Linked DNA regions of Arabidopsis thaliana. The protein of the gene in region 2 interacts with the protein of the main gene of each other region in a pairwise test. Each region holds a gene or a part of one and is shown on either strand. Other genes may lie near its edges.

What was found.
Region 1: the proteins of AT3G60660 (region 2) and AT5G50840 interact in a two-hybrid assay, tested with the Arabidopsis thaliana proteins (one large-scale study listed by BioGRID).

What each region holds. Positions count from the first base shown.
Region 1 is NC_003076.8:20,683,675-20,689,433, forward strand, and holds AT5G50840 (alpha-taxilin-like protein), read left to right. Parts: upstream 1-2,143; 5' UTR 2,144-2,228; coding exon 2,229-2,520; intron 2,521-2,609; coding exon 2,610-2,677; intron 2,678-2,771; coding exon 2,772-2,883; intron 2,884-2,978; coding exon 2,979-3,046; intron 3,047-3,144; coding exon 3,145-3,222; intron 3,223-3,744; coding exon 3,745-3,809; intron 3,810-4,049; coding exon 4,050-4,116; intron 4,117-4,224; coding exon 4,225-4,407; intron 4,408-4,584; coding exon 4,585-4,641; intron 4,642-4,741; coding exon 4,742-4,837; intron 4,838-4,933; coding exon 4,934-5,065; 3' UTR 5,066-5,248; downstream 5,249-5,759. Other genes in the region: AT5G50830 (nuclear polyadenylated RNA-binding protein), read left to right, coding at 1-393, 566-633, 711-875.
Region 2 is NC_003074.8:22,419,483-22,424,275, reverse strand, and holds AT3G60660 (spindle/kinetochore-associated-like protein), read right to left. Parts: upstream 2,933-4,793; 5' UTR 2,796-2,932; coding exon 2,699-2,795; intron 2,618-2,698; coding exon 2,493-2,617; intron 2,349-2,492; coding exon 2,236-2,348; intron 2,131-2,235; coding exon 2,043-2,130; intron 1,907-2,042; coding exon 1,839-1,906; intron 1,761-1,838; coding exon 1,655-1,760; intron 1,580-1,654; coding exon 1,550-1,579; intron 1,446-1,549; coding exon 1,332-1,445; intron 1,187-1,331; coding exon 1,109-1,186; 3' UTR 799-1,108; downstream 1-798. Other genes in the region: AT3G60650 (uncharacterized protein), read right to left, coding at 4,002-4,295, 4,788-4,793.

The DNA.
Region 1 (5,759 bases), on a different chromosome or scaffold from region 2:
ACGGTAGCTTGAAGGCGTCCGCTAAGGTTGCTCCGGCGCCTGATCATAATGTAGAAGAGAAGAAAGAGGTTATTTATGAAAAGATTCCATCCAAAGATGATGTTAAAGAGGTGAAGGAAGAAGTAGTTGTGAACAAACAAGAAGAGGACAATCATCATCAAGATGTTGTGGAGAAACAAGAGGAGGAAAATAAAGAGGTTGTGAAGAAGCAAGAGGAGGAAAATCATGATGATGATGTGGTCGTCATCAATGTTAAGAAGGAAGGAGATGATGGTAAGAATCATGATGTTGATGAAGGGAGTATCAACAACTTTGATGAGAGAATGATTGGTCCTGGATCTCCAAGCTTTAGGGTTTATTGCGTCGATGTTCCTTCTGATGATGATGATGAAGGTAAATCATATGTTCTTATACAAACACACATATATACATGTATAAATCATTTACTATTTGTATTTGTATATGGATGCATGCATTGTTAGAGACATATATATGTTTATATATGAAATGCTTGTTATATTATGTAGTTTCGTTATTGAAACAATTTATCCATTCACTATTGCAGAAAAAGATGTAGAAGACGCGAGAAAGTCGATGGAAACCGAAAGCGTCACGACAGAGATAAAAGAGGTGGTCAATCACATTAATTCACATTATTGATTATTTGATCTATGAGGATCTCTAACAATGATATATTTGTATTTCTATAGGACGGAAGCATTGTCAAAAAGGAGAAAAAAGAAAGAAGAGGAAAGAGGTTCGGAATCGCATTGCCGAGGAAGTATTTAGCAAATGTGACTGCGCCGTGCTATGCAGGTGGAGGATGCATGGGAAACACTCATTCTCGTTTGGTGCAAGAGAAATCGAGCCAGTGATCGATCAAAATATGTTTGCCATCTTTGCATTGACTGATTTGTTGAAGTAAGAATGGTGTGGTGTACGTACGGGATCACGATGAATAATCAAAACCACCTTACGATTTTAGACCTTTGATTTGTTTTAAGAGACGCTTGTTTCAGAATTTGTACAACCTCTTCTTCTTCACCTTTGCTTTCTTTGATCAGGATAATTAAGTTAGTGTTTGACGAATTTACTTTTTTCCACGTGGAAAGATGTAATTAATTGAACTTGTGCAATAAAAAAAGTGTTGTCTAAATGTCAAATTTATTGTTACATTAACCAATGAAAATAAAATTAGAGTAACATATAGGAAACTGCAATTATAGAAGAAAAAACACACTAAAAGGTGTAAGTAATTGAACTTTGTGAATTCCGTTTGTTTTCGGAATGCACAAGTGTTAGTCATAATAGGAAAGATAAAAATCTTAATTACAAATCCTAAAATACAATTTTTAATTTATTTTTTAGAGTTTATATTAATATGTCGTCAAAAACGGTATATTATTCAGAACAAAATTATCGTTGACCATTAGTTAATTAATAACCAAGTTCAAATTTGATAATTTGAAAGTTTATTTAGACAAAATTAATTAGTTGAAAGTTTTATCAATGATGGCCTCTTAAATTTTTAACTTTTTTTTGTTGAGTTTTATAAAAAAGAAAAAATGGTTTTCAAACTAAATTTGTTTATGATCATGTTTATCCGAGTTAAGCCCAATTTGAGATCTTTGTCAGTAATGACTAAGAGTACCTCCCGCATATAGAATTCATGTAGTTTCTAAAACATATATATATTTTTTTAACTTTTAAATATATATATTTTTTTAATTGTATGAGTTTCTACTAAAAAATTACTATTGAAGTTGGTCTAAGTTGCGAGACCAAATTTTTATATGCTTTCGGTTCGAATTGACATTTCTCTGTGTAAACGAAGCATCAATAAGAATTTATCAAACTTGAATGTAACACCATTTCTTTAGTTGATCATTTCCAAACATTTATTAATCAAATAAAATTGAATTTCAAAGTCACGTGATAATGATGATACTCAAATTTAAAAAACCAATAACACTTTATTTCAACATTTCTATGAAGAAATCAATTATTAACACTTAAAGTTATTAATTGAATAACAACGAACAACATTTAATTTAGTCAAAATTAGATTTTTTTTTTCTTTTTTTTGGTTTTATTGTTAAGATTTTATACCAAATAAAATTTTACAAACGAATCTAAAAGAAAGAACAAATTTAAACTTACCTATCAGAATTGTTGTAAGATATTTGGGTTTTCTTCGTATTAGGTTTCATCAGATCCAGACTCAAAAAATGGAGTCACCGCACTCGAATTTGCTCCCTGAAGTCGATTCTTTACCCGATGGATTCGTCGACGGCGCAACAGAGCCGCCTCTCAATTCTCCCAAGACCCAGGAAGAAACAACAAACCATGAAACTGTTGCGATCGAGAAAACAGAGAAGCCAAGAACTTTTCCGGTTCCGTTGTGTGAAACTGATGGTAATGAAGATGACGAAGTAGCTGACCTAATTCAAGAATCAATCAAGCTTGAGTTAGAGTTCGAGCAGAAAGAAAAAGAAGCTTCTCCTCCTATTTCTCAAACATGTGAGTGAAAATGTGAAGCTTAATTTCTTTATAGGAATTTGCTTCTTTTGTAACCTAAAGTTTGTTTCTTTGCTTTTTGTTTGAGTTAGTGTCAGAAGGGTCAACTCAAAATTCAACCTTGTCTAAGGAAATGGATTCACTCAAACCCAAAAAACAAGTCAGTATTTTGATGAGTTCTTCAATCTTGTTGCTTTGAGAAGAATATATGTTGAAGATGATGTATCTGATTTGTGTGCTGATGATATTGAAAGCAGGAGGTGGTTGAGAGCAAGCGTAAGGGTTCAAAGAATATGTTCAAATCAGAGAAAGAGTTTTTGGAATTTATGCTCAAGTATCAGCAAGTCCTTTCTGAAAGAGATTCTGGTAATAGGATATCAATAAAACCAAACTAGTTTTGTGTTACCTTCATCGTTTAATGCTTTATAGTCTGTACTCATCATTATTGTTTTTAACCGTAGCTATTACTGTTCGTGACAAGCTTGAATCACTTTGTAGAGAGTTACAACGTCAGAACAAAATGTTAATGGTTTGTTCTTTCTTTCTTCTTGCTTACTCTACTTGGTGTGTCTTGTTTTGAGGAACTAACCTTTTGGTGTGTAAACTAAATGTTCCTTTGTATAACAGGAAGAATGCAAGAGGGTTTCAACTGAGGGACAGACTTTAAGATCGGATTTATCGACAAAGTTCCAGGATGCTATAATGGTAAGTTGAACACATTTTTCTTTCGATGTGAATTCTTCCCAGGGTTTTGATCTTTGCTGAATATAGAAATTTGAGCCATTTTGCCGTCGGTATTGGCAGTTTTAGAGAGGAACAAGTATTGGATAATAGCTTTGTTTTGTGTTTCTAAGTATGCAAATCTTAAATGCACATCATTTATTGATCCTTGTTATATTTTCTTAGGATATTATCTCCTTTAATCTTCCGTGCTATATGCTTTGGACAGTCATGGCAATATCTTTTTCTTCTTTCTGAAACTCTCTACACTGACATTGGCAAATGTTAGTACCGATCTACACTAAAATTTAGTCCTTGGAAATAATTGGAACTAAACAAAGTAGAAAATTGTCCATATTGGTTTCAAGTTACAGATTGATAGAACTAAGTTTGATGAATTGCTTGCAGGCTTTTGCAACATCAAAAACTTACAAAAACAAAATCAGAATTTATTTGATTGATTTTTTTCTTATGCTCTCTACCTTCCTAATCCTCTTTTGTTTATAGGATGTGAGCATTAAGTTGGACGAGCAAAAGAATGAAAGCCTCACGCAACTCAAAGAAAATGAGATGTAAGCGGAAAGAACTCAATCATAACATGTTCATTTGGAGTAGGAAAATTATAGTATGTTTATTATATATGTATAGTTTTGTTGCAGTTTAAGTTAATACAGTATGAATATGCTCGCCCACATTCTGGAAACTATATTCTTACATGTGTATTGCTTTTAAAACGGCTTTGCTTGTATCAGCTCAGTAACATATTATAAAGGTCCATTCTAATTACAATGGGTTTGTTTCTTAATCTCCAGGTTAAGGACGAAGTTGAAGCACCTGGCTGATCAATTTATGCTTTCAGAACAACAACATGAGCAAAGGGTAATTAAATTATTCGTTTTTTCCAACTATATATGAAGCATGATTTAGCCAAAATAATTGGCTTAACTGCGATGTCTACTTGACAACATCTCATTTTCGAATGGACAGTTGAAGCAGAAAACACTTGAGCTACAGATCTCTGCTTTAAAAATTAAACAGCACGAGGAGAAACTCATCCATGAACAATCTCAGATGAAAGTTTACGCAGATCAAGTTTCTCAGCTTTTGTCTACTGAGAAAAATTTGCGGTTGCAGCTGACTTCTGATGGAGATAAATTCCAGCAGTTCCAGGTCTGCTCTCTTCCCCTTTTACACTTCCTAAATAAGTCTTAATCGTTTTCTCGATGCACTGTGATCACAGATAATAAGATTGCTTGCTTTGGGTGTGATACAATACTCTCTTAAGATATGTTTTTTACTGATATTATATGAAAAGACTGTAAAGTGAAAGGCTGTTTGGTTATGCAGGACGCGTTGGTTAAGAGCAATGAGGTGTTTGAAACATTCAAACAAGAAATCGATAAGGTAATAACAGTTTTATACCTTCGAGGTTCTTTGAAAGATCATAAGTGCTATTTATGTGATCTTATTAACTTGATCCTGTCTCTATTGGTTTTTTGAGTAGATGTCAAAAGCAATCAAAGAACTCAGAAAAGAAAACGCATTCTTGAAAAACAAAACTGAGAAGTCGGATATCACTCTCATAGAACTCGTCGAAGAGGTAAAACAAAACCGTCTGTTCTCTCACTATCTTTAAGGGTTTGTAGATTTTGGTTATGAAACCAGTAAAATCACACTTTTGGTTGACCTTGAACAGCGTGAAAGATTGAAGAAACTGTTGGAGAAGACAAAGAAACAGAAAGACAAGCTTGAATCACTTTGCAGATCCCTTCAAGCTGAAAGAAAACAGAAAGAAACTAACAGTACTGATTCTGCTGTTCAACCATGAAACAGAGAGAGACTATGAATTCAGTGTTTTGCTCTCTTTTTTTCTTTGTCAGAGTTTTGAACTAATTAGCACTTCAGATTACAAAACTACAATTAGACTCCAAATTCACTTTAAAATGTAGAAACATATCACATCATATTGATTCTGCTCTTTTGCGAGCTAAGTCCATTTTATCTCACAAAATGCAAATTGATAATAGTTAATTCAGCTGCAGCTTCTGCAAATCTCCAGGTTCACAAGAGAATGATTCTGCATTCACTAAGTTCACAACCGATTTGGAGAAGAATAGCTACTTCAACATCTGCCATAATGACCAGCTGATTCTTTGCAATCTTAAACCAAACCGAACCGAACCATTTGAACCGAAGAAAAGTTAAACCGATATGGATTATGATTCGGTTTGCATCTTTATGGATTCGGTTAGTTAAAAAAAGCGAATCTCTCTGAATTAAAATAAGTATAACGTCAAATTAAATTTGGTCACATCCACTTTCCTTTACAAACTTCAACAACATCAAATGGAATAATATAATATTGGAAAAGAAAAAGTATATAACGAAATGTCAACCATCGATCATGACCAGCAGATATTAATCGGACGGCTCCTGTACAATTCGATGAAGAAGACCTACTCTCTCATTTATTCAGCTAATTGAAATCATTTCGTTGTGTTTTAGAACAACAACAAAAAAAC
Region 2 (4,793 bases):
CGACCATATCTTTCTTGGCTGAGTTAAATGATACGTTTTGAAAATAAAAGAAGTAAAATGGTAGTGATGGAGAACTCTATAAGTCTAAATGTGGTCTGCAGAAAATTTATGAATGTTTCTTTCTTGTATGTATATAAAATTTAGGTCACAACTCACAAAATAGTAAACATGTTAATTAATTATTTGATATCAGTTGGTTGGTAATAAATGTGAATTTTCTTTAAAAAATGCATGCGATAAGACTGTATAGTGTGTGTTTTTGTCTTTATGCATAACGTATTTTGTGGGTTTTGCACGAACGAAAGACGACTAAAATTGGTTATTGGTTATACGAAAAAAGAAGACAAAGAGATTGGAACAGACATTATGGATAAACGTGAAATTGTGAATGTTTCTGAGGCAAATAGTCTTTTTTTTTTCTCTCCTGTTTCCCTGGACCACTTTCTTCTTCCCATTTCGTAGTGCCTCTTGATTTTTATTTCAGGACATATGAACAACAATAATGCAAGGATCGTCGTTTTCGCTTGGTTATTAGATTTGTTTTCTTCTTCTGTTCGGAAAATAATGTTGCCAAATTTACTTGTCCGTATCAAGATAAATGTATGGCAGCTACAATTTACTATCTATTGATTTTACGAATAGACAGTGACACAGATAAGATCCTTAAAGGTATTGGAGTATTAAGAAAACTATGTGGAGGTAAAAAGTCACTAAATAAAAACGGAAACCGAGTTTTGCTACTTTGTAGGTTTGAATGGGACAGGCCATTTGTGCACTGGAACTTGAACCAGATTGCTTAGAGAAATTGCTTTTTTAATATTATGAAAATAACGGAAATCGAGTTTTTCTACTTTTATGCAAATGTGAAAATTGCATTAAACATTTTTGTCCATATTATAAATTCAAATCCTGGGCCTAGCTGGGCCTGTCAGGCGGGCCGGTCTTAAGGATTAAGATTAAGGCTTAATGATGTTTAAGGGACCAGTAGACCTTCTATGATTCTATGGTACAAGGAGCTCAGAAGAAGCAAGAAACTATTGAAAAATGACGGAATTACCCCTTACGCTTGTGAAAATGAACAACTTACTTGAGGCAAGTTGGTTGGTTTCTAGTGAGGCTTCATAAGAATGATGACGCGGTTTTGTCCAATGCGAGTCTCACTAATACGACCAAGGTGGCGAAGAACCTGTTAATAGACACATCAAAATTTGACAATAAGCATGTGTTATCGATGTTAGTCTAACTCTGGTGAAGAGTTTAAGGAAGCATGAAAATGTTGTTTCTTTTTTGTTGAAATTTTGAAATGAAGGGAAGATATATTAGTTACTTACAGTAAGTATTGCTTTTCCTGTGTTGTCTAGTTTCAAACTTGGTCCCTTCATGTCAGTTTCAAGAAAGAAATGTTTGCCCTTCACTGCTTGCTCTGTTACGATATCTCGTAGTTTCTGCATATAAGAGTTTCAAGACAATCAAAGATTATAACAATGTTTTCACTAGTGAACGGATACTATCATCTAGACAGTGTGGTTGATGAGTTATATTAGCTTACAAGTGCTTTCTCCCAGAGATTTTCCGCTAGCTTTGGCAATATAAGACAAAAGCGTCAGTACAATTGTAGCCTATATAACTCAATTCCTTCAGCTGGTAAATATACCTTCTGTTTTGAGGCTGCAATAAGATGAGCATTTGCTTCAGCATATGAGGCCATGTCATTGATAGCAGCATTCACTTTCTCAAGGGTGAGCCTTCCTCTCATGTATCTTGTTTTTTGGAAAAATGTCAGAAAAGCGGTATGCATTTCACATAAACAAGGAGAAGAGAAAGTAAAATGTACTTACGATGAGAGTGAATTGAGTTCCTCAACAGTTATGTACCAAAGGGGAGGAGACCCGCGACCCTTCTTCTCCTGGAAACAAAACCAAAGATCAACCATAGACAGAGATAACAGAAATACACAATAGCAACAGTTTATCATTCATCGCCATTGAGTCTTAGAGGCCATAAAGTCTCTTTGAAGAAAACAAAGTATATGCAAGTTCTACCTTGGGTAAAACAGCTGCTTCCTCATCAAATTTCAAAGAGCTGAGAGTAGAATGTTGCTCGTACTGCTTGGCATTCTCTTGGAGCAGACTGGAATGAGAAACCACTAATCTTAATCAAACTTCTGGAGTAGTAATAAAAATCAAAGGCTATACCTAGAAATTGAAAAAAGAAGATGCAAGTAAATGTAAATACCATCTATTTAAATCTGAATTCAACATAGTAGCCTTGTCAGGAAAATGGGAAGGTGCATAAATAGACATCTTCTGCAACTTCCCTTGTTGTTTCAGTGATGCCTCTATAAGTTTCTACAGTCAACACACAAAACTCTCAAAGTCAAAAACCCAGGTCCAGATTCTAAACCCTAAATTACTCAAATTCAAATCATCTTACAGTGTAACGACGTTTCTAGAATCTGAATTTCAGAAATCTCGGAAGTAAATAAAACGTACCTTAGCTTTTGGAATAGCTTCGGTTTCTTCACGTAATCGGTCCTTGATCGATTGTACCTGAAGCTCCATTGAGCTCAACGCTGTGTCAATCGCCGATAAATCCGGGATGGTACTTGCAGGATACACTGCAGGAAATTGAAATTAGGTCATCAAATGAAGATATTGAATAACGAATTGAGTATTGAGTGTTTAGAACTAGGACTCACTGTTTCTGGCGATGACGAGTTCCTGCAATTCGCCGATTCGTTTATTGAAAGAAGCAATCAACGAATCTAGAGAAGATCCAGCTTGATTTCCCTCCATTCTTCACTAACCTCTCTCAATCTCCCAATCAAAGACTATCTGCTTCGCTTAGGTTTAAGAAGTTGGAAACTGCAGAAACTTTTTCCGGCGGGAAAGTTTTATTAGCCAGATCGCAGCTTCTTTGTTCTCTGTTGCAGGATATGTTATGGGCTTATGACCCACTATTATATCTAAATGGGCCTTATACTAATAAGTTCGCTCTTTTCAACGTACTAATATATCTAAACGGGCCTTATATATTTTTCCGCAAAATTTGAATTTTATCCTCTCGATGTAACAAAATTACGTTATGACATATGAGAAAGAAGAAATTATGGAAAATAAAATAACAGAACGTTTTGATAAGAAATGAGATAGACAATTTTGTCTTTGATTAATTATTAGTAGTATATTGTTTTGTACAAGTCAATTTTAAATTTAAGATACGTGGATTTGGGACATCTGATTGCATTGGAACCATACGCGGGATCTTCGTCCTTTTTGGACATCGTTAACAGTGACTTTGCACGCGGACTCATCTATATATACAAACTATAAATAATGCATTTGACTAGTGGTAGTATTACTATTCTTTAATCGGATGAAAATATTGCAAATTTGCAAGTACTGTATTACTATTTTTAAGGTCCACCAAGTTCAAGATACTATGTATATTATATACATACATATTTAGTATCAGTTTTGTCAACATTAGAAACGAAAATTAACAGACTAACTTAAAAGATTTATGATTAGCAGAAAACCACATGTATTACTATTAACCTGCAAGTCTTTTTAAATTACATTTGTTAACCTTAGCTAATACTATAACACAATTGTGAACAACAACAAAAATACATATTGATATAGTAATTTAGCAACGAAATGATCATACACATGCATGTGCATATAAAGAGGAGTAAAGTATATATTGTACATCATGATGATATGCATTCAACTTGCAAGTGTGATATGGTAGCAACATCAAGAAACCCAACGGAGTAGTATTGAACAATTAATACCGATAACAGTTTCACTATAATCTAATTCGTATATGTATTAATTTTAAATATAAAAGCTTATTATAACTAGGTCGTTTCTGACCATACATCATGATATATCAAACGAGTAAAAAGTGGAAATTCTTCGTGACTTGAGTTATGATATTTGATAAACCACGATATGAAATTTGTTTATGCATGGAGTTATTACATGATCATTAAGAGTTCAATTATGATGAGGCGGGTGTGTAGTGGGCTGCATATAATCAAGATTGAAACCCGGATGTTCTTGATCTGATTTAGGCTGCTTCTTTGGATACTTAGGGATTTTCCAAGTTCTTGAGACTCTTTTAGACGACACCTTTTTGTCTGAAGCTCGTTTTACTCTGTGAATTTCCTTCGTCTTCTTCCCGTTGATCTGACCATTATCACCATGATTAACTACCGCATGTGATTGGCTCAATAAGGTGTTCGTCTTGTTTGTTGATGGAGCTTCTAGTTTTGTAATCTCTTCATTGTCCTGTGCCATGGAATAAGAGTTAGTATTCATGACTTAAGTTTTTTAGTTTTTTAGTTTTTTTTTGTCATTTATTAATAAGTATTACACTAAAAGTGGAGTATGTTGAATACAAACCCATTTTACATGGGAATTGTTTTATGAAAATAAGTGAAACTAGCTAGTGTTTACCCTCGAACTTCTTAGTTGTGCACTATATCTAGTGTTTATATACATGCATACATACGGAATCATTTAAAAGTATTTGGAGCCCCCCTACAAATTTAAATTAGAGGTATATTTGATTTTGAAAAGGAAAAATATGCATTCAATTCTTCTACATATCTATGTAAAAGACATTTAAAAAGTGAAAATCACACACATATATATAAACAAATTAAAAGACTATATACCATACGCATCTTAATATCAATGATCAAAAAATAATTGCCCGTGTTATGAAAAAACTAACACCATATTAACCATGACTCTTAACATCACAAGCGAAGGGCTTACCTTATT